Linked DNA regions of Schizosaccharomyces pombe. The protein of the gene in region 1 interacts with the protein of each later gene in a biochemical or structural test. Each region holds a gene or a part of one and is shown in the gene's direction. Other genes may lie near its edges.

Region 1 (8,742 bases):
GTTCAAAGGATCCACGTTTATTAAAACGGATTGACAAGCGAATTTCAAAACCTAACACCGTAACGCATTTGCGCTATTTGAGGTAGTTTGGCATTGATTGCTCAGAGTTGAATATCTTATTAGCATCAGATAGTTTATAAACTTATAGAAACTGATTTTAGGCTTTATATATTTTGCGCATCTCGTTACTGTGTGTTGCAGCCAGGCTCAGAGTTTGCTGGCAAAATCGGAATATAAGAGTCCGGGTACAAAATTTTCTATCGATATATCGCTATCTCCCCAGAACCTTTTCGCAGCAAATTGTTGCATTGAATGTCTCCAGTCGGTTTTAATCTTTAAAAAGAGCTATTAGCTTCTTTCTTCAAGAAATACTTATTCTAAGAAGTTAAAGTTTAATACTGTTGTCAGTGCAATAGAAATAGCTGAACGTATTAACAAATTCTCTGTAATTACACCGTCAGACTAGAATTGGTTCTTGGATATCTTCGGTTCTTCTTTTTTCACCGCTTGCGTCTGATTTACTTTTGATAATCAGGGTGGTATGTTCCATAGATTGGTTGATTCACCAGTCTTCCAAATATTTGATCTTCGCTGCTAATTTTTATTTTTTTTTATCTAAGAAATAAAGATTGGAGTTTGTGATATAAAATTCATATATATATAATATATATACATGTGTATATCTAACAGAAATTAACCTAAAAAATATACATATACCTCCTTCTCATCCTTCTTTTGTATCTTACTCTTTTGTGATACGATATTAGATTGAAATACAGCTGTGCTGTCTTTTTTTTCTTTCAACTTTTCTCTATTTCAATTTTTGCATTTTGAAAGTTATACATATTTCCTTTCAATACGGATAGTGGGTTGATTTCACTATATCCAGTTTTTACTATCATAAAAGCGTTGTATAGTATTATTTTATATCCTATGCACACGCTTGTCTAATCTTCCTTTGTCGCTCAATTCAACATTATCGAAGGTGTTTAAACCCATCTCTCTATACTCATGGCCGAACGTACTTCAGAATCGTCAAGCGAAAGTGCTAGCTTCGACCTTGAAAAACAGCAATCCAATCATCATGATCGGTATCAATCCTCTGTCTCTTCGGAATTAGAAGAATCTCTCAAAAAATATCCGGTCATTAGCAATCCTCAGGATTTCATAGTCACATTAGACGGCCCTGATGACCCTGACTTGGCTGTTAATTGGCCTTTAGCCAAAAAGCTTCGTAACGTAGCTGTTATGGGCAGTGCGTGTTTGTGCGCCGGTTTTGGTTCTTCTATTTTCTCAGGTGCTGTACCCGAGGTTATGGTCAAATTTCACGTTTGTCGCACGGTGGCTTTACTGGGAATTAGTCTTTACGTCCTTGGATTTGCCTCAGGACCTGTTGTATGGGCTCCTATGTGTGAATTATTTGGTCGTAGACGACCAATGATTATTGCTGTATTTATCTTCTGTATTTTCCATATTGCCGTTGCGACGGCCAAAGATATCCAAACCGTTATGATCTGTCGTTTCTTTTGTGGATTTTTTGGTAGTTCACCAATTACGACTGTCGCTGGTTCCTTTTCGGATATGTTCAGTGCTCGAACTCGTGGTCTTGTGATTGCAGTTTACTCTGCTATTATTTTTAATGGACCGTTAATGAGTCCAATTGTTGGTGGTTTTATTGGAAAATCATACTTGGGATGGAGATGGACGTCCTACATTACTGCAATCATGGGATTCACAGCATTTACATCTATGATTATATTTCACCGTGAGACATATACCCGCACAATTACAGAGATACGAGCGTCCAAGGTGAGAGTACTTACTGGGAACTATTGCTTACATGCCAAATCAGAAGAAGAGCCCTTGGAATTCTCATACTTTTTCCACAAATACTTCACATTTCCTCTCCGTCTTTTAATATTTGAGCCCATATTACTTGTGGTTTCAACTTATACCGCTTTCGTATATGGTATCCTTTATGGATTACTTGAAGCATACCCAGTTATTTTTGGGGAGAGTCGAAAATGGAGGTTGGGTGTTGAATCTCTTCCGTATTTGGCTATTTTTGTTGGTGTTTGTATTGGATGCTCTAGCGTTGCCCTGTTCCAGCCCTACTATTTTAAAAAGATGGATGAAAATAAAGGAAGACCTGTTCCTGAAGCACGACTTCCCTCCATGATGATCGGTTGCATTGTCTTTCCCATTGGCATCTTTTGGCTTGCTTGGACTGGTAATTATCCATGGATTCATTGGATTGTTCCAACTTTGGCAGGTAGTTTTATTGGCTTTGGAATCATTACAATTTTTCAACAAACAATCAATTATATCATTGATTGTTATAGTGGATGTTCTGCTTCTGCAATCGCGGCCAATACATTACTTAGAAGTTCGTTTGGCGCGGCATTTCCTCTTTTTACAACCCAAATGTTCAATAATTTGGGAATTGGTTGGGCTGGTTCTCTGGTCGGATTTGTTGCAGTTGGGCTTATTCCAGTTCCTTTTATGTTGTTTTTATATGGGCCGAAATTACGACAAATGAGCAAGCACTGTCTAAAGGATTAATTCGTCATAGAAGTCCGCTTTTTAGTTGATTTGCTTGACCCTCTCTTTTCCAGTTTTTGTTTTTCTTATTTCTGTTATATTCATCTTTTTTATTCAGAAACCATGCCCGCGGTTTGTTGCCTTGGGTTAATGGCCTCAGCATTTACTTGTTGTTATTGTTATTTTCGTTAATTTAACCAGTTTGCTGCCGTTTAGATATTTAGAAACGATGGACTTTGTTTTAAATGATCTCTATTACCCGCTGCCTCTTTCTTTTGTCTTTTTGTGACTTCTTTAATAATTCATCATCCTCAATGATTACTTTTGTTGATCTCCGTTTCCTTTATGTTTCTGATCATCACAAAAAAAGTACCTTTCAAATAGACATTTATATTTATTGGTTGGTTATGAACCTTACATATGATTTCCGTTTACCATAATACATTGCTAAGACCTCAACAAAAATAACTGTTAGCACAGGCCATACTTGTCAATTTATTATATCCCGTTTTTATCAATGTAATTGAATGTTTTCGAGTCCAGGTCTTGCCCGTAGAATCACGGTTAGTGTGAGTAGGTAGTAGATCTCGGGCCGTAGGTGTGAATGCCGTAAAGCTAGAACATTATCTGAGAATTTTCATTTTAAGAACGCCGTATGTTGAGAGAGAAAACAGATCTTAAATATCCCTCTTTTCAACGACTCAAGAATTGTTTACATTTTTTCTAGCTATCCTGTCGAGATCTAAGAGCTGAATGGGATACAGTTATAATGGATAACGATATAAATTTGGAAGACCTTAACACATCTTATGGAATTCTAACGGCTGGGCTACTTCGGTAAAAGTAGTTAGTAAGGGATAGCGATGGGATGAAAGCGCAGGGGGTTCATATTCTATCAACTGCTGATATTTTTAGTGATGCCTTAGTCATTGGTATTCATATATACGGATTTTTAAGTAGTATTATTAAAATATTTATGGTACAGTAACGGAGTGTAAAGGTGGCTTCTCCTACTGGCGTAAAATAATTAGTAAACCATTTTCCCATTTTTTGTTATTTACTATATCGAAACGCTCTTCCTAATGCGCAAAGTTTCCTCGGTAGTGTGCTAAGACTCCACGGTGTTTCCCCGTGTTGATTTTCGCACTAAAAATACTACTCCATACCGTATTTATAACCAGAACAAACAACAACAACAACGAAGGAATTGGTGTATTCACATATCTCAGATATTTTAATTTAAGAGCTGGAGGGACATATCAGTAGTTTCTTCATACGGGGCAGCCAGCCATTTTGAAATGGGAAGTGACGGGTCGAGTTTGTCACCGAAAGTGTCACAACCGGGACACACTGAAATAGTTGACCATGTCAGTGAAAAGGTGATCACGAATGGAAAAAATGTTAATAAAAAGGTCAATGCTGAAGTAGACGGAAAAAGCATGGTGGAAAAGGTAAAAACGCACGAAGAAAATGCAGAGGACTATCACTATGGTGGATACCACCCAGTCTACATTGGTGAAGAATTTCATCACCGTCGATATGTCGTTGAAAGAAAATTAGGCTGGGGACATTTTTCAACGGTTTGGCTTGCATATGATCGAGCTGCCAAACGGAGAGTAGCTTTGAAGGTGGTGCGTTCAGCAGAGCACTATCGAGAGACCTCAATTGATGAAATTCGCATTTTGCAGAAAATTAGAGAAGGGGACGAAAAGCATTTGGGCAAAAAGCATATCATTTCTTTGCTCGATTATTTTGTGCATCGTGGTCCTAATGGAGCTCATGTCTGTATGGTATTCGAAGTTCTCGGTGAGAATCTTTTAAGTTTGATACAGTCATACGGCCATCGAGGAGTACCTGTGGGTATTGTAAAGCAAATTGCCTACCAATTACTCATCGCTCTGGATTACTTGCATCGAGAATGCGGGATCATTCATACTGATCTTAAACCCGAAAATGTTTTAATATGCATTGATCAGGATGCCTTGCAACATATTGAGGCACCTGCAACAACTTCCTCCCCCACTTCTAATACCTCTTCTTCAAAAACAAGAAATAACACTGGTTATACAGCCAAAGCTCCAATTATTAAACGTGGCCAATCTGTAGATAACTCTGCCCAAGAACGCAAGACATTTGCAAAAAATCCAACTAAGAATTCTAAGCCTGCTGGCCAGGTCATTCCTAGCAGTCCTTTTACTTCCACTTTGAGCCGCTTTCCTTCATTAGAAGGTGCTGTTTCAGAAATCAGCCTTCGTGACTCTCAAAAGCATAATTCTCATCCTAATTCTCCGTTTTCTAGTGGAGATAATTCTCTTATACTTGATGGTGTTAACGGTTCTCAGGAACCCGTTCCAAAAATCACTGTTAAAATTGCCGATCTCGGTAACGCGTGCTGGACACGGAAGCATTTCACCAACGATGTGCAAACCCGTCAGTATAGGTCTCCAGAAGTAATTCTAGGATGTCGCTGGGGAGCTTCCGCTGATTGCTGGAGTTTTGCCTGTATCATTTTTGAATTGCTAACCGGCGATTACCTTTTCGATCCACGGAATGGGAATTCTTATTCTAAGGAGGATGACCACATTGCCCAAATTATTGAGTTATTGGTTAATTATCCTAAGCAAATGGCACTTTCAGGAAAGCACTCCCGCGATTTATTTAACCGTCGCGGTGAACTCCGAAATATTCATAAATTGAAGTTTTGGCCTTTAAAAGATGTTTTGGAGCAAAAATACCATTTTTCAGCCGAGTTGGCTCAACAAATATCAGACTTTTTATCTCCTATGTTATGTTTTGATCCTGCCAAGCGAACCAATGCTGGTTACATGAGCAATTCTCCATGGTTGCGCGAAGTGGCTGATCCTACGTTCAAAATCGAGACTACTGGAGCAACCGGTGAAGATGTACCCGGATGGGCTACTGAAATTCGTTAGTGTTTACCTTGATATTGGTTTTGAAGCGCTAGTAAATGATTTTTTTTTATATATAGTTTTTTTTTGCGATATCGTCCCTTTTTTAATTTCCCACCATTAGCGTGATTGCTTTAAAAAAGCATGACACCTTTCACTCTGAAATGGGTTACGTATGATTATCACGATTCCTTCTTTTGATCAACATTTACTGCACTGAAATTTGAACGAAATTTCCTTTTACTTAATGAATATTTAAGATATAGCAGGGTTTAGGTCAGCTGCTTTTTAAATCATATTATGTTTAGAAAACGCATAAAATAAAGTTTTGTCATTCAAAAGGAAGTTAATTGGAAATTGGTAACTTGTAATGTCACATATTAATATACTGTTCAGAATGCTGTCGAAAGAAGGAACAAACCGATGGTAAGATAACTCATTAAGGAACCATTAGATTAAACCGTACCTTTATTTCTCCTTTCTTCCAGCATTCGTTTTTCAAATTCGGTATTAAAATACTTTCTATCGCAGTCTAAAATAAATCTGGCACAACTTTCTTTGGATTCTTGAAGTCTCTTATTTGACTCACGGTATTCATCTGCTAAAGAAGAAGAATGAGGGTCAATTTGGGGTGGTTTTTGAGGACGGCCAGAGTTTTTTTGGGCTCGTTGGAAGTCAACACATAATCCAAGTAATTTTTCCGTTGTATACATATTACCAATGCAAGTGTGAGGCTGATAATGCATATATAGATCGAGTATATCCGCAATCACTGCTTCCGTTAGTGCTGGTGGAGCGAAGAACGATCTGGGAATTATAGGTTGAGGAAGTTGCTGTAACTTGCAAGCAATAGAAATCGATGCGACGGCAACAATATGGGCTGGATATTTTAACATTGTGTATGTTTTATAAGCATCAGTGCAGACATTCCAAGCTATACTTGCCGTGGAAGATGAAACTGAAAGTAAATTAGTTAACTCGAAAATTATAAGGTAAAATGAATAGCAGTCATACATTTCAGTGATTTTGCAAATTTTACCATGTAATTGTGTGGATGTCGGACTCGAAAATCGAAACAAATCAATTCCAGTGTCATTCTTTCTAAACCTAGAATCCTCTTCTTGTTCTCTTCGATTAGCTAATACACCTGTAAGCAAGTCTCCTTATAAACAAAAAACAATTATTGCGCACCTTGTAACATACTTGTGAATGAGCATCGACCTCAGAACCTGGATGCTTTTGAAGATAATGTGCTAAAAGAATATCACGAAACTTTTTGGCCGTATCTTCGATTTTACTAGCAACTACTAAGCAAGCAGTAGCGCACTCCTAAATGTGTTAGTTATTTTTGAAAGAAAAAGAGCCTAAATCAAGAGAATATGATGTTTATAACTTGGAGTAGCTGAGCTAACATTATTAAAAACTGTAGTCTTTTTTAATAGTATGACCAATGTACAGCATTCAGAATATTCTTATATCAGAATACGTAAAATTTCAAATAGCACAGCATACTCATGTGCGAAAGACATCCAAATAACATACCAGCAAAGGAATTTCATTCACGGGAAAAAATAGTTGGAAACGACTGTATAAAAGCATTGCAAGGCCGCTGGTCCTTACAGGGCTAAAAAAAAGTTAGATTCTAGATAATTTTGAGGAAAAGCATACAATTTTAAAGTTTTTGAAAGTGTTGATATCCAAGCGAACGCCTGCATTCGCAAATTATTTTCTTTGGGATCTCGCGTCGACAAAATTCGACTTATTTCTTTTTCTGAATAGTATGGGTGTGACATTCGTATTGAAAGTACATGATTCTCATTTTCTGCCATTTTAGCAGCTAAAATGGTGCTGGGTTTGTGAAGGCCTGGCTTTACCTGCAAGGTGCAAGTATGCTGAAGTTAAGCGATTCCTTTTAAGTAACGCATTTTATCATGTTGTATACTGTAAATCAATTAAAATAAAATAATTTTAATTCAGCAATTGCAGCTCGAAATTATCATGGAAATGTTCGCAGTTATTGAATTTGTAAATTATGACAGTCCTGCGTGCTATTGTAAAAGAGTTATGAAATTACTCATTTCTAAAATAAAATGATTGTTTAACCTTCGGAGTGTTCGTCGTTTAATTTCTGAAAGTAGCGAACTCCTACACTACAACATGATTTTAGTAAATTAGTTATTTAAGTAAGGAATAGAGACGCTATGACCTTCACGCCAATTTGTCTGTTAATTAAAATATTTTTTGCATTTTTTTTTGTCTAATGAAACAGACATTTCGTCAAATTGAGCTATCATAAGAAAACATTAAACATCTAATAAATTCATATTTTCCTAATAATTCTATCATTTTGCATATTCTTATTAACTAATTAATTTTTGCGATTATAAACGCCAAACATTTCCTGAAAGCTTTCCTTTCAATCTTTTAAAGTGAAACTCTCTTATTTTTTTTCTTATTAAACTAGTAGATATAGGATGATAATATCTTTTAATTATTTATACTATACATTGCTTCATTATTTCAGCAATTTTTACGTTCATTATAATTTAAATTCTGCTGCACAAGAAGATATGTATTTTCACTTCTTTATTAATGATAATTTACCATGCTTAGTACATGAGAAAGGCCCACAACTGAATAATTTTATGGTGATACCAGGATTCAATTTTAGGATGGTAATTTTAATAATAAATAAATCATAGAATTGAACCATTTGAGTGTTGTCATATGCATTTTTTTAATCTCTTAGGGTTATTTTCTATTCCAAACATTTCAGATAAAAAGATCGTTCACAATTTCTGCAAATCCAGACACTGCCTTTTGAGAATTTAAAAATATCCAAAAAGTAGATGAAGTATACAAATTTCATCTTGAAAAATACCTGTGCAAAGTTCTGTTTCAATTTTTGTAATTGATCTCACACTTCAATTGTCTAATACATACTTATATATTACAACTTTAAACTTTCGCTTAGATAAAAGCTTAGATAATACGTAACTCATCAATTCCTTGGGTAATTTTCTGAACCGTATTCAACACTCTTTATTTTCGCCATGTTGAGCTGTAGCTCATTTTTAATCTTTTTTCTATTCTCTTGGGTTCTTTTACCTATGAAAAGTTTTGCAATACCAATTATTAGTTTGGATAAGGTCCGACTAGCTATTAATGACGGAGCTTCTGAACAATTACCTGTGGTGATTTGGCATGGCTTGGGCGATACTCCCACTAGTTTTACTCTTACAGAGGTTAGCCAGCGTGTTCAGAAACTAACTAAAGGTGCGGTATATGCTAT
Region 2 (7,549 bases), on another chromosome or scaffold:
CATATTCTTTTTTGTACTTATGCAACGATGCCAGAATAAAGGATTTGGAAAAAAATGATCAACTTCTACAATTCTATATACACGAACAAATGACCATAGATCAAAAGAAAAAATTGTTGTACCCTTCAATCAGTCATGTACTATTACAGTTTTGGAAAGCTAGTAAAACCACTCGTTTTGTCTTTTGAGACTAGTTGTTTACGAGTAGCCTGCATTTTAATAATATATAAAGAAAAACTTTGTTCAACCTCAAACTCGAAGCTACCTTTTATAAATCGTAGATAATTACTCCTACCACCACCAAAGCTGGAAAACGAATTCTTCCATTTTTTAACCACAGTGGCAATGTTATCAGCCAAAATTACAGCGACGTCTGGTAAATAATTGAATAGCTATGAAGGCATGAACTGCAATGCTTTAATGTAGCTTACGGTTAACGACAATGTTTCCATACATTCACTACTTTTTGACGACCTTTTAAGGCAATAAATATGCGACTGAAGTGACGTAACAACATCAAATGTGTTAATAGCTGAACAGCCTTTAAGGGTTCAGTCTTTTCGTGAATTTTGGAATTTTCTGAGTACTTCAAAAAATAGAATATGTCTTCGGCTGACAAGATTTTCTTTATCGCAGGCGGGAATCGTGGTATTGGACTCTCTCTTGTTAAAGAGTTAAGCAATAGAGAAGGAACGACTGTGTTTGCGAGTGCTCGCAAACCCGAAGCTGCTACTGAATTACAAGAGTTGAGCAAGTCTCATTCCAATGTGCATATTATTAAGTTGGATGTCACTTCTCTAGAGAGTGAAAAGGATGCCGCCAAGCAGGTTGAAAAAATCGTGGGTAAAGTCGACGTTCTCTGGCTAAATTCAGCAATCTATCACTCTTATTCCTCTGTATTAGAAACTCCTGATGAGGTTTGGAACTCTCACTACCAGACGAATGTTTTGGGACCAATTCATGTCTACCAAGCCTTTTATCCTTTAATGAAAAAAGGAGCGTCTAAAACCATTGTCTTTACTTCATCATCAGTAGCATCCATGGGAGCTTTTTTTCCAATAACTGTTTCAGCTTATGGTCAGTCTAAAGCAGCTCGATGAAGGAAATTAGTTTTGAACTAGCTGATGAAGGCTTTATTGTAATTTCAATTCACCCAGGACTTGTACAAACCAAGATGTCAAAAGAGTCCAGTGAGCATTTTTCCAAACAACATCCTGTCATGTTAGAATACTTTCAAAAAAATTCCATTCCTCCCGATCAAAGTGCTGCACAAATGTTAAAGGTTGTAGACGACTTGAAACCCGAAAACAGTGGATCTTTTCGTACTCATGACGGTTTTGATATCCCCTTTTAAAGGTACTTTGCTCTCTAGATTCCAGTGTATGATTTGTTCAAACAATTGTTTTTTGTTAATTTCATATGTTCTTACAAATGTTTACGAGCATAAAAAGTTTGAGCGAGTCCAAGGTGCCACTTGGATTGTTCAGCAGTTTTAGATCTTGATACGTTTTATTCAACCTTTGGATATATAAAGAAGGGCGTCGCATATAAAAAATTCAAGTGTTCATACAGCAATGCTTAAATCGGTTGCAAACTTATATTTTATCTTAAAATTATTCTATTTCTATGTTTTTTTTGTTTAATAATTTTTATTGTGAAAGGACTTCAAGGTTTAAAAGAGTTGTTTTTTTGTATCCTGATTCAACGCTTTTCTCCTATGGCCAATGTCTCAGCATTATCAATTAAACAATTTTCAAATAAATTCTCCCTTTATGATACTTTATCAAGGAAATTAAAAGAAAGGTGCATTTAAAGGAATACTATTCAGTATGCAAGCAGTATCAAGGAAGCAGCTGACAAACCAATGGAACGGGTTATAAAGATTAGTTGCAATATCCATATTATATGGCAAAATATCACCTAACGCTCTACGTGAACTACTATGAACCTGCTGATTTTGGAAGTATATTCAATTATGTAAGCATCAAAATTCACGGTTCAAATCACGTAAGCATAATGATTTGAAGAATTGGTATATAAGCACGAAGTTAATGATAAATTGCCGACACCAAATTACACTTTTCAAACGGATTCAAGGATCATTCAAATATTGTGTTAGAATATGTCTACTACCAACAAAATTTACTTTATTGCAGGAGGAAATCGAGGCATTGGACTCTCTCTTGTTAAGGAATTGAGCAACAGAGAAGGAACAGTTGTATTTGCAAGTGCCCGCAAGCCTGAAGCTGCTACTGAATTACAAGAATGGAGCAAGTCTCATTCCAATGTGCATATTATTAAGTTAGATATCTCCTCTCTAGAGAGTGCTAATGAAGCCGCTCAAGAAGTTGCAAAAGCTGTAGGTAAAGTAGATGTTCTTTGGGTAAATTCGGGCATTTTTCATTCTTTCAACACTGTTCTGAATACTCCTGATGATGTCTGGAACTCTCACTATAAAACCAATGTTTTAGGACCAATTCATGTCTACCAAGCCTTTTATCCTCTTGTGAAGAAAGGAGAATCTAAAATCATTGTTTTTACTTCATCATTAGTTGGATCCATGGGTGCTTTCTTCCCATTTAACCAATCTGGTTATGGCCAATCCAAGGCTGCTTTAAATTTTACAATGAAGGAAATTAGTTTTGAGCTACAAGATGAAGGATTCATAGTGATTTCAATTCATCCCGGAATGGTTCGAACCGATTCAGCTCAGGAAGCTGTAAATCAGCATGCTGAAGCGAAACCGGAAATTTTAGATATCTTTGCGAAACAGGCCTTGGCACCAGACCAAAGCGCTTCAGATATGTTGAAAGTTGTAGACAATTTGAAGCCCGAAAATAATGGATTTTTTTTCAACTATGATGGTACTACAATTCCATACTGATGGAAATTCACATCATTAACAAGTCATTCGGATTTGCTGTTAAGCTGCATCAATATTATATAACCGAATGATCGAAGGAACTTACAATAACCCTAAATATATGTTTTAATCCGCTTGTATATCTTTTTTAATAATTAGAGATGAAGGAGGTTATGTCTATTTTTTATGTTTCACATACGAGTTGTTTTTGCACAATGAAATTTGATGATCATATTAATTGTACATTGCATGCATTATTAATGAAATAGAAATTTTTATTAAACAACGGTTATGTTTAACTAAACTGCTCTGTAAGTTCTTCGTACTTTCGCATAAAATACTTAACAATGGTTATGTTTTCTATTGTTTACCGAATAGTGAGGCATTGTTTAGATGTGCCTTCAGTATTTATATTTACTGCATTTTAATCCTTATATGTTTGAATCAAATAGGTGTTATTACCTTAGAGCACGAAAAGCGATATAAAATAGTCAAGCGTATCCTTAATTATCCGAACTCTACGAAACCTTTCTTCACCTACGCTGTTCTTGGCAATCGCTTAGACGCGTTTCACTTCGAAATGTCAATCGTGAATATCCTTAGTGTTAATGTGCTAAATAATCCGGCAAAGTTCTCTGATCCATATAAATTCGAAATTACCTTTGAATGTCTGGAGCCGTTAAAAAGCGACCTGGAATGGAAGTTGACATATGTAGGTAGTGCGACGTCTCAAAGTTACGACCAAATTTTGGACACGCTACTAGTGGGACCTATACCAATCGGGATTAATAAATTCGTTTTTGAAGCTGATCCTCCTAATATCGATCTTTTACCTCAACTCAGCGATGTTTTGGGTGTCACAGTTATTTTACTCTCTTGTGCATATGAGGATAATGAGTTTGTTCGAGTAGGTTATTATGTCAACAATGAGATGGAGGGCCTGAACCTTCAGGAAATGGACGATGCAGAAATTAAAAAGGTCAAGGTTGACATTTCTAAAGTCTGGCGCAGTATTTTAGCAGAAAAGCCAAGGGTGACTCGATTCAACATTCAGTGGGATAATCCCGACTTTGACGATGCTCCACCAGTTCAGCCTGACGCGGACGAAGAGGAAGAAGAGGAGGAAGCTGATGAAATGGAGGAAGAATTCGATGAAGAGGGAGAAGGCGATGAGGAGGAGGAGGAGGAAGACGATGGAGACGGTGATGGAGAAGGTGATGGTGATGGAGAAGGAGAAAATGATGGGAAAGGATCGGAAGAAGAAGAAGAAGAAGAAATTGATATAGAGGAAGAAGAAGAAGAGTCGGCTCTTGCAAATGCTTCAGCTGCGGAAGAGAAACCTGAGGAGAAACCAGAGACGTCTCAGTAAAATGATAATCGGACTATTTTTTGAATGCTAATACTAATATTGACAAGAACTAATCCGATAAAGAACATGATTACTTTTTTGTATACTCTCTTTTAGTTTGCGCATATATATCGCTCTACCCGTTATTTTTTCGATGTAAAATATTCATGACTGGTGATAGTGTGAGAATAAAAACTATGGAATGGGAAAAGAGGAATAGCATTTTTTTTCCTGTTACCATAAAGCATTTTTCATAACACATCTTTTATTTAAATTCATTTTTGAACCGTCGACCTTTCCGTTGCATAATGGAGGGAAGAAGCATCTATTGTATGCCTCTTCCAATCGCCCTAAACGCATCATTTGTACCAACGTTCCATATTTTGGAACGGAGTTCTATTAGATTATTATTTTCTTTTTTTCCCATGTAAATTGTTGAAAGACTTTCGCATCCTGGTGTATGAAGTGTGCATTTCATGTTTTTCAAAACATAATTAGGGCACAGACGCAAGCTTTCTCTCCTCGATTTATCCTTACGGGACGGGATCTTTTTCCAGTTTATTAATGTGTGGATCCATTATTAGTATGTTCCATATTTAACTTATTCATCCAAAAGACAGCAGCACTCATTCTAGTTTTCGCCCTATGTATATTTGTTTATTGCAAGACCCATCAGTTGCGTACTCCAATGTAATCCGTTCGCTAATAAAACGTATTATGACATAAAACGCTATTTAAATATTGCGTATAGCAATACTCAACTCAATTAAGGATAATGTCTCTTGCAGTGGCCTCTTTAAATTGAGTGACACCCCTAAGTCACAGCAATGGGAAATGACATGTATTGACGCTACGCTGGTAAGACACTTCCCAACCTCCCATTTTCCGCAAAAAAACAAAAAAAGCGCATTACTCAATGAGTACAGATTCCTTGCCAAGAAGTTTGATGGAGCAGTAAGTGGTTTTGCTAGTTCTTTGCTAAATTGATAGGAAAGCGATGGAATTGCAACAGCAATTGCAAGGTACGATGGCGGTGCGTTTTGGAGAAAGAAAAGACTAACAATTGATAGCTTTGTTGGATGAGATCGATCAAAACAAACAGGAATCTGAAAACATTAGTCGAGAAAGCGAGTATCTGTGCCAATACATCGGCAGCATGATGGCCTTTCAGAATCGTCAGACTGTTCCCAAGAAGTAAAGTCGTTTAACCCTCTTTATGAAGCAACACTTGTACAGAAAGAGTTGTTGATGCACCATTGAATTGATTAATCGCTTTTTTTGATGTTTTTTGTATGATTCGTTCGATGAAGAAGAAAAAAAAATAAGGTTCGTTTGGATAGATGCGTAAGAACGCTGTTAAAACTGCGAATTCTCAGAAAAGTTTTTGGACGAATGACTGGATTACTTTAAGTGTTTGTTTTCCGTTGGATGGATCAGCCCTTTAGCGGCCTTTAGCATTTTTTTACGTAGAGAAATTCCCTTGTACTGGTCGCTGTTGGTTGGATTGATCCATCCCTCGCTTTCCCCATCGTATTATAAAACACGTTGGCTTTACTTTCTGATTGCCCTCTTGAGTTCCCCACACGCCTTTCGACCCACATACCTTTTCGAGTTGTCTAATTAATATCGTTATTAAAAGACATGAATTATTGCAATTTTGTTTATCTCCTTTTTCATTGAGCGAAGAAAAAAAAAAGAAAGACCCTCCAATTATCATTTAAAACTTATTGCGTCTCGCTCAACCTTCATTGCAAGTGGGTAGGTGGGCTTTGAACACCTTCACGCTTTATTCTCTTGTTTCTGACCCTTTGATGTTCCCATCGATTTCCTTGGACATCATTCTGCCAAATGTGTTGCCATTTCATCTTTTTCTATTCTATTTTCTATTTTTTAAGCTCAACGTCACTGGCACTGAACTTTAGCACAGCTAGCTCGTTTTTGACTAATCTATACTCAATTGAAGTTCTGCATGACTACCATTAAATTTTTGTTTTATTTTTTTTACTTCTGGTCAAGTTTTAAATTTGTAAATATTTTCCTTACACAAGTAGACTTAAGATGTGTTGAAAGCTTCTTGATACCCTATGTACTAAAAAAACCCTGTAGCGTAAAACAATGCAGGAGGACAAATCATCCTGCAGTCATTTTATTTGTTACAAAGTATTTTAATAAAATAACTTACAAACTTTGTCGAAATTGAAATGAGTATAAATTTTTCAAGCTCTTTAAATAAAAACAAAAACTCATCTATCCCGACAATTACAAGTCAAAAGTTTTTCCTACCAGGTCAGGCCGCGCCGCCACCAACTACTAGAAAATTAAAGTACACTTAAAATCGTTTTATTTACAGATCATTCAACTCTACTATATTACACGACAATCCTTACGACTTGCATGGAACTGTTTACATAGTTATTGAAGACAACAGATACATTGCGTTTATATAGAAATTTTTCGCTCAAACAGAATGGATCCATTTTCTATTTTTGCACACGTAAAACGTAGGATACGCATAAAGCAATCCATAACTTCATGTACACGAACGCTATCTCAGTTAGAAAACAGTTACTCCACAAGCAAAGGCGTCGGTTGATTTTGTCGACATACCATTTTAGATGTTCAACTTGGTACGTCTCCAGTGTCTTCTCTTCATGTTATAATGAACAGTGTTTCCGGTGCGAAGACGAATCCATTGAGGAATGGGGCGGTTTTGACGCGCAGCCTTGGCAAGCTTTTGCTTGGTACGGAAACTCTTGTGAGAAGGCATTTTGTGGAAGACAGAGTGTTGCATCCACGCAACTAAAGCGAATGTGACTGCTCTTTTTTCACAACTGTGACTGTCTTTTGAAGGTTTTTGTAGGATTTAAGGAATAATTTCAACATACTATGGTACATATTGCTAGTAACCGTTAAAACTGTTTTGTGAAATATGCCGTCAGAGCGTTATTTAAACTAGAATTGAGATACTGAAGAAATAATTAAATATATTTCAGTTAGTCCAAAAGCTTGTTGTTAGAAAAAGGCAGACGCATTCAAGAAAGTAGTGTTAGTAAGTAATATTTGGTTCAATCATATCAAAGTAAACTTGCTATTAATTTTACATTTGGGCTAGAAGCTCATATTTTAAGCATTGAGGTACAAAGAAGTTCCCAAGTCAAAAAACTTCTATTTTGTTACTACTATTTACAATTTGAAAAACTACGAAATCCGTACTTATGAGGGTCAATAAAAAAACAAAAAACGAATCCATTATTCATTATGAATCAAAGTTAATGGTAAGAGTAAAATGCCATCGTACCGATTACGATAAAATAGACAATTATTTGCACGTTAGCAAA
Region 3 (7,508 bases), 190 kb from region 1:
GCCTTCCAAGCAAATATTCTTCCATTTCTGAAGAGTCACGATTGGGTCCATTCGTGTTAGGAACTGCATACATCCACTCAACTCTGTCTTTTCTTTTTTTTCCACCAGCAGCTTCTTGTAGCCGATGTAATTCCAATAGTTGACGTTCTTCTTCAATTTCTCGCCTAAGTTGCTCGACTCGCTTCATCTCTTCTTTGTGAGCTTGCTCATCTTTCCAAACTTTTTCCTGGTTCCTCATTAGCAGAGGATGCCTAATCATAATATTAGTAAAACATCTTTAAACAATTATATTAATGCAAATAAATCCACTTACCAGCTTTTCTTCATATTTAGATCTCCACCACCCATTTTGAATTACTAATAAGAGTTGTTTAAATTTCAAAATAAAATTGAGAGGAAAATCCACTAATTGTTTTATTTTTAGGATTAAAAACCACAATTCTCAAAAAGTGGCTATTAATACAAAAAATTGAGTCTCGCTTTACCTGTGACTCATAGTGTTTTGCAAACATATACACTAAATTACTTGGGTAACATGTTACCCAAGAATAGAAAGTCAAGCTTGCGAATTCTGAGACCAATCAATAATAATCACGTTCAGATTTCTTAGTATTTTAGCTATAACTAAGTCATTGATAAACGTAAGTTCTATTTCACTTTAAACTGATTAAAAAGCAATGTATCATTAAAAATCCTACTTGATTATGAATGTGATTTTAAACAAATTGGTATACAGCATGAAAACATGGGTTGAAACTTAATTATATACTGGAATAGAATATGTGAATTCAGTCCAATAAGTTGCATATTATATACTTAATCCATTCAAAATCAATCAACATTTCTAAAATGAGAAATGACTAAGTTATTCTCCTTGGCAAAACGATGGTAATTCAGCAAGCAAAGTGTAATTTACATAAGCTATGCATTTAATGAAAAGATTAACAATCACGTTTTTTATTTTTTTTTGTGCATGGAGACATGACAAACTTCAACATCAACTTCACTGGATATTAGTAATGATATCCAGAATTTTTGCGCTTCTGAGAGCCTATCATTATCGCTTTTAACTTCTGAAAACATAAATTTTTTTTTAGACGGATTCCACAAACATAAATCAGGTATCCCGCTAGAACTATTTTTATAATCTTGGGTCAAAGCAAGAAATATTTGGGCGAGTCCATTATCGTTGATACAATCGACAATTTCAAGAAGCATTTCGCAAGTATACGACCAATTAAGACCTACACAAAATGTTTTTCTTTGGTGCTCTCTGATATAATTATCTTTTATAATTAGGCCAGCTTTCCCATTTCTTATTTCCTCAAGTCTTTTCATGATTGTCGATTCTCTAGATATATAAAAGGAATCAGTGTGCAAATCCAAAGGTGCACTTTGAAACGGAGATTGAAAAACACCAGGAACGTCCTCAAACAAAATATCCCAGAATGTCAAAGCAAACAAAGTTAGCAAAATGCTGCTTTCAGCATGTATACCTTCCCACCCAATCGATTGATAATGTTGAAGAGCAAGCTCTTCAACTGTGATAGCATTATTAGTCTTGCTACGCCAAACAGTCCGGTTTGAAAGGTCACCGTTATGTATTCGTTCACCATGAAGAAAAAGTCTTGAAGGATTATTATTTATAAGTTTCATGCTTTTTAATTCGGTAGTATTAGAGACTTTTAAACACTTCCGTAAGCGAACAAGTCTCCTTTGTAAGCTAAAGTAATATCTGAGGTGGGTATACTTGTCTTCAATACCATTTTCACAAGTTGATAAAGCAAGCGTTTTCCAATAACGCAAAACGTTAGTATCCTCAGTTTTAAAGTTGTATTCCAGTAAGGCTTTTCTATTATACCAATGTCCTCTTTTACCCACCAAATATATATTTTGAGATAAAAGGGTATCTAATATTTCATGTTCAACCTCAACTAATCGCGACTTCGCGAGAATATTTAGACTTTTATGTATTAAGTATGTGTAAACAGCACCAGGACGAAAGCTAAAAGAAAACCTTACCAATCGAGTATCTACTTTTCTATTTTCTTCCACCCAAAATTCCCTAATGTCTTCATTTAGATATGTCGACCATATAGGATATATTTCAAAAAAACTGTTCAACGCTTGTTCGAGTGCTTCCTTATCCGAAGCGGCAGTGTTTTCAAAGATTGGAACCAAGTTTTTTGAAAGTTCTAAAACCTCAACGTATTCAAGGCATTGAGCACGACAATTAAAGACGTTTGAAGTTCGCGATAAAACGTAATTCGGGTAGGAAAATTTGTTAAGGCGTGCTAATATTAAAGACGTAAGCGATTGTTCATCATAAATGGACGAACGAAAGTACACAATATTAATTCGATGAAATAGGTCTACTAAAATTTTCTTTGGTTTCACACAGGATTTGCATTGATATAATAGTTGCTTCCGAAGAAACGACTCTTGCTTATGCATCACACCAAAAGCATCAAAGGACAAAAATTGTTGACCATTACAATGTAGTACTGATTGTCTTTTAGATAGGAAAATGATTTCTTTTGAAATTTCAGACCTGCTTTTTCCACACACCTTCGTTTGTCTAGCTAACGAACGCAATTCATCGAGAGATAGAATTTCAATTATTTCTTCAGTTGACATGAGTGATTCATCTTCAAAAAAATTTTTCAGAACAAGCTGCTTACAGCAGGCAATAACATCCTTGCAATCTGGATAAGTCAAATGGCCCACGCGGAACCATTTATTTCTTTTACGCATGAATAGACGAACAAACAAGTACCGTTCATCCGAGTCTAAAGCTTTAAAGTTTTCAATAACCCTCAACTCATCATCAGTAAAGATATGCGGTTCACAATCGAGGACGGTGTTTAGGATTTCTTCGAACCCCAGCAGATACATTGAATTTTTAGTAGAATATACATTGTGCTTATTAGTATTGGCAACTTGTCCTTTAACTGTTGTCTCTGGTGCTTGACATACAACTTTTAAGGGAGGGAAACATAACTTGTTCTCGTTTACCCCAGATTTATCTGGAGTGTTTATGTCGCACGCTTCATTAAAGAATCGTTTCATGAATTTTTAGATATCACAGCAGCGCGACTGAATAAGTGCACAAGATGATGGCCGTAAGTAAACAAATATTTAAAAAAAAGAGCGGCTTTTACAACAATGGAAAGCTAGTATGAAAATAAATAATAATAAATTTTGAATGAATGTAAACGTCTTCTTGTGTAATAAAGTAAATTTTTAAAAGATTGAACATACAATTTAAGAGCATGGATTTCAAGGATAAAATGAGACAAACATTAAATCTATCGTGGATGTACTGGCAAAAAAAAAACGAAAATTATTGAATTTCATGGCAGCTGTAAATTTTTAAAGATTGCTTTAAAAGAAAGCCATACAATCAAATACTATGGTCAAAAGAGAAAAATTCGTTAAAACTTAGGAGAATGGTACTAGGGTAAGGACAACAGTTTAAATAAATGCTTTTGAAAATTTAACTGCATTCGTAAGTTACAGTGTTGTCTATAATGCAAGTTTAGCGAAAGTTGCTATTTGAAACTAAAAAGAAAATGTAAGTCAACAACGTTGTGCTTAAAATTACGACGCTGGCGAAGTTACTACAAACTCTCACTACCTTAACTTAGTAAGTCGAAACTTTTGACTAACCTTGGGCGTATCACATAAAGAAAAAATAAGTTAATTATTATTGTTCATGTTATAAATTTTTTTTAGCAAGGAATCCAAGAGCATTGACGCGCATATCATTTCATTAGAATTTGTACTTTTGTATTCCCTACTTTCATCAAAGTTTTTTCCGGAGAATTTAAGAGTTCATTTTAATAAACGAATTTCTTCCCTCCCTTCTTTTTTGAATAATTTTTTAAATAGCCTCATATTCATTCACTAACATGGATTTGTCTTCCAGATTATCATCAGGTTCTTCACGGATACCCAAGCGACACAGAGATTATCGCGATGAAGAACCTAGACGAGAAAGAGGTTCGGGTGGGATAGGAAGGGAAGACCCGAGAGGCCATTATGGCTCTGAACGACCTAGAAGACGTCGCCGAGACGAAAGTGATTTTCGTAGACATAGAGAATCTCGTGAAAGAAGTTATCGAGAGGATGAGAGGCCAAGAAGAGAAAGAAGATATGATGATTATGAGCCTCGATCATTACGTTATTCATCTGTCGGAAGAAGTAGAAGTCCACCTCCCAGCCGAGAAAGAAGCGTAAGGTCTATCGAACAGGAACTCGAACAATTGAGAGATGTAACACCAATAAATCAGTGGAAAAGGAAGCGCTCTTTATGGGACATTAAACCACCTGGTTATGAATTGGTTACTGCTGACCAGGCGAAAATGTCTGGTGTTTTTCCTTTGCCAGGCGCTCCTAGAGCTGCAGTTACTGATCCAGAGAAATTGCTAGAATTTGCTCGCTCTGCGGAAGGAAGTATTATTGCTCCCCCTCCGCCCTTACAACCAGGTGCTAGCAGACAGGCTCGTCGACTAGTGGTTACTGGAATTCCTAACGAATTCGTTGAAGATGCTTTTGTATCATTTATCGAAGATCTATTTATTTCAACTACATACCATAAACCCGAGACAAAGCATTTCTCCTCTGTCAACGTCTGTAAAGAAGAAAACTTTGCTATTCTTGAGGTCGCTACTCCTGAAGATGCCACCTTCCTCTGGGGGCTTCAGTCCGAATCATATTCTAATGATGTCTTTTTAAAATTTCAAAGAATTCAAAATTACATCGTCCCTCAAATTACCCCCGAAGTTTCTCAAAAAAGAAGTGATGATTATGCCAAGAACGACGTTTTAGATTCAAAAGACAAAATTTACATTTCAAATTTACCTTTAAATTTAGGCGAAGATCAAGTGGTGGAGCTACTTAAGCCTTTCGGTGATTTATTAAGCTTTCAATTGATAAAAAATATTGCAGATGGATCTTCGAAGGGTTTTTGTTTTTGCGAATTTAAAAATCCTTCTGATGCGGAAGTAGCTATCAGCGGTCTTGATGGTAAAGATACGTATGGGAACAAGTTACACGCACAATTTGCTTGTGTAGGTCTCAATCAAGCTATGATAGATAAGTCTAATGGAATGGCCATTTTGACAGAACTTGCTAAGGCGTCATCACAATCTATTCCAACTAGAGTCTTACAATTACATAATTTAATTACTGGGGACGAAATTATGGATGTACAAGAATATGAAGACATATATGAGTCTGTAAAGACCCAATTTTCGAATTATGGACCACTTATAGATATAAAAATTCCTCGTAGTATTGGCACTAGAAACTCGGGATTAGGAACTGGAAAGGTTTTTGTACGATACTCCGATATCAGATCTGCAGAGGTCGCAATGGAAGAGATGAAAGGTTGTAAATTTAATGATCGCACGATTGTCATTGCTTTTTATGGTGAGGATTGCTATAAAGCTAATGCATGGTGATTTCAGTTTCAATGAAAAGGTTAGTATAATATCTTAATGTTAGGGTAATAATATCAGTATTTCTCATTGGATTGTTTAAAGTGTAACAAAGTACTCAATTGTAATGAGCGATTGTGGGATGAAGTAATTCTTGCAAGCATTTCCCGTTATACGCTTTTTATCATCGGTTTAATTTACAAGGTTCGTTGTAAGGATTCTTAATATATGTATTTTTTGTAAATTGTTAGTCACTATCGTATTCTTCCTCGCTACTGCTGCTTTCCTCAGAATCGTTTTGATTTAACGATTCATCTGCAAACTCTTTAGGCCTTTAAACTAGTTAGCACAATCATCTAATGTTATTTCAAGAGAATTTCTTACCAATAAATTTGTTTTTTCCAATTTTTTAAAGGGCTTTGTACCACGTACAATATAGTACCGTCAATTTTATTGTCCTTCTCTAAAAACTCAGATTTATCAACTATTACAAACCCATTTCTCCTAACCCATATTTTATTACGATACTTTGGAGGCATCTCAACAAGTAATTCCTGTCCATTGTTTTCTACTACCATAAAAAGCGCAGATCCTTTAAGTTGCACAACTTTGGCGACGACTTGATCTTTTTCCAACCTAGCTGGTGGATCAAACGAAATTTGACCGCCATATTTTTTTGACATATTAGTATTTCTCTAAAGAGCTCGTATATATGTGATAACCAAGCAAATCGTAGAGAATTGGGTTTATGGTGGTTAGGAAGCTTCGACAAGTGGATTTACAAGATGATATGCATTTCATAAATGTCATTCCTTTCTATGAAAAAATAAAATTTAGTATACCATTATAACTTAAACGTAAAAATTGATCTTTATCTCATATAAACTACCCTTAAAAAAAAACTTTAAATGAAGCTCATGAGAAATTGTCAGGGAATACTTCACTTATTGAATCCTCATAATCTAAATCATCATGATAATCATCATCACTATTTTCAACGGACATGCCCTCTTTTTCAGGATGTAGATGTTCGTCCTCTTGTTCAGCAAGTAATTTTAACTTAGCCTCATCTTCAGGAATTGGTTGAGATTCACATCTTCGCTGATGTTCGGATTTAATTTGGGCAACTCTCACATTGTAGGAATTAATTTGACGTTGATACTCTTCCAGGCGAGTTGAATAATTTGCTCGTCTCGCGTTAATTTCATCAACCCATGGTTGTTTACCTAAACTATCCAAGGCTCGCCATGTCTTTCCCAATTTTGCACGTATCTCATTTTTTGTGGCACGTGCTTCAGGATCGCCAGTAACTCTTTGTTTATCCTGATCTGCTAGAGTTTTACAAACGTGCCATTGAGTTTTTTGGTACAAAAGGTAAGGATTAGCACTAGGCCTTGATGGTGGAACAGGAGACGGTCCCAATAATTCGGCAATTAGTAAATCACATTCTTGCTGTTCTTTATCAAGTCTTTTTTGTCTCAAGCGTAAATACTCGGTATGGTATGAAATGCGCTTTTCCTTATTTTCTCTTTCTCCCTCTTTGCCTAAAGCTTGTTGAGCATTTCGCTTCGTGCCGTACGTTTTACGGGGTTGTTCCAAGTTTTCCTCAATAACGAGAGTGTTAGGTAAAACAACATTGCCTATTAACGAAGCCAAAACATCTCTAGCAGCCAGTATGCCCGAATCAAATGCGCCGCGTATCGAACCTGAATTTTTTTGGGAAATTGCTTCACTAGCAAAAAACACAGTATTGTCAATGGGCTCAGACAATATTGCATAATCCTCTTCCAAAAACAAATTGGATATTTGATATGATGAGTGATTTGTATAAGAATTATTCTCCCAGTTACTGATAATCGTTCGAATAGGATTTATGGCTTCTGATTTCGGTTTATAAACTTTTTTAAGTTGAGATACAATCCCATTCACTATATCATCATCCTTCATAAAGTCGATCCCTTCAACCTTCACAAAGACTGATAATGTGGGATGTTCGTAAAATCGAGTGCAATCGTTAAATATAAAGTTTCTACCTGAATCTTGTGGTAGTGAACCAAATATACTTAT

What was found.
Region 2: of the proteins of dsk1 (region 1) and asf1, one has a biochemical effect on the other in vitro, tested with the Schizosaccharomyces pombe proteins (one study listed by BioGRID).
Region 3: of the proteins of dsk1 (region 1) and prp2, one has a biochemical effect on the other in vitro, tested with the Schizosaccharomyces pombe proteins (4 studies listed by BioGRID).

The regions. Positions count from the first base shown.
Region 1 is NC_003423.3:822,911-831,652, reverse strand, and holds dsk1 (SR protein-specific kinase Dsk1), read left to right. Parts: upstream 1-3,720; 5' UTR 3,721-3,839; coding exon 3,840-5,474; 3' UTR 5,475-5,905; coding exon of another isoform or gene 5,906-6,408; 3' UTR 6,409-6,464; coding exon of another isoform or gene 6,465-6,588; 3' UTR 6,589-6,653; coding exon of another isoform or gene 6,654-6,779; 3' UTR 6,780-6,848; downstream 6,849-8,742. Other genes in the region: SPOM_SPBC530.15C (spermidine family transporter), read left to right, coding at 1,012-2,562; lsc1 (Lsk1 associated cyclin), read right to left, coding at 5,906-6,408, 6,465-6,588, 6,654-6,779, 6,993-7,074, 7,119-7,279; palmitoyl protein thioesterase/ dolichol pyrophosphate phosphatase fusion protein Pdf1, read left to right, coding at 8,504-8,742. UniProt on the Schizosaccharomyces pombe protein: May play an important role in mitotic control by altering cellular location, degree of phosphorylation and kinase activity. Abundant expression accelerates the exit when cells are in M-phase and also delays the entry into mitosis when cells are in G2.
Region 2 is NC_003421.2:1,640,450-1,647,998, reverse strand, and holds asf1 (histone H3-H4 chaperone Asf1), read left to right. Parts: upstream 1-3,414; 5' UTR 3,415-3,443; coding exon 3,444-4,232; 3' UTR 4,233-5,097; downstream 5,098-7,549. Other genes in the region: osr1 (dehydrogenase), read left to right, coding at 2,123-2,884; SPOM_SPCC663.18 (GTPAse-interacting protein), read left to right, coding at 5,128-5,165, 5,202-5,233, 5,282-5,409; rpl39 (60S ribosomal protein L39), read right to left, coding at 6,823-6,978. UniProt on the Schizosaccharomyces pombe protein: Histone chaperone that facilitates histone deposition and histone exchange and removal during nucleosome assembly and disassembly.
Region 3 is NC_003423.3:1,009,644-1,017,151, forward strand, and holds prp2 (U2 small nuclear RNA auxiliary factor small subunit, U2AF-59), read left to right. Parts: upstream 1-3,666; 5' UTR 3,667-3,911; coding exon 3,912-5,465; 3' UTR 5,466-5,536; downstream 5,537-7,508. Other genes in the region: protein Cwf25, read right to left, coding at 1-251, 314-348; fan1 (fanconi-associated nuclease 1), read right to left, coding at 958-3,069; tif1102 (translation initiation factor eIF1A-like), read right to left, coding at 5,689-5,773, 5,826-6,124; lsd1 (histone demethylase SWIRM1), read right to left, coding at 6,357-7,508. UniProt on the Schizosaccharomyces pombe protein: Necessary for the splicing of pre-mRNA. The SF1-U2AF59-U2AF23 complex has a role in the recognition of the branch site (5'-UACUAAC-3'), the pyrimidine tract and the 3'-splice site at the 3'-end of introns.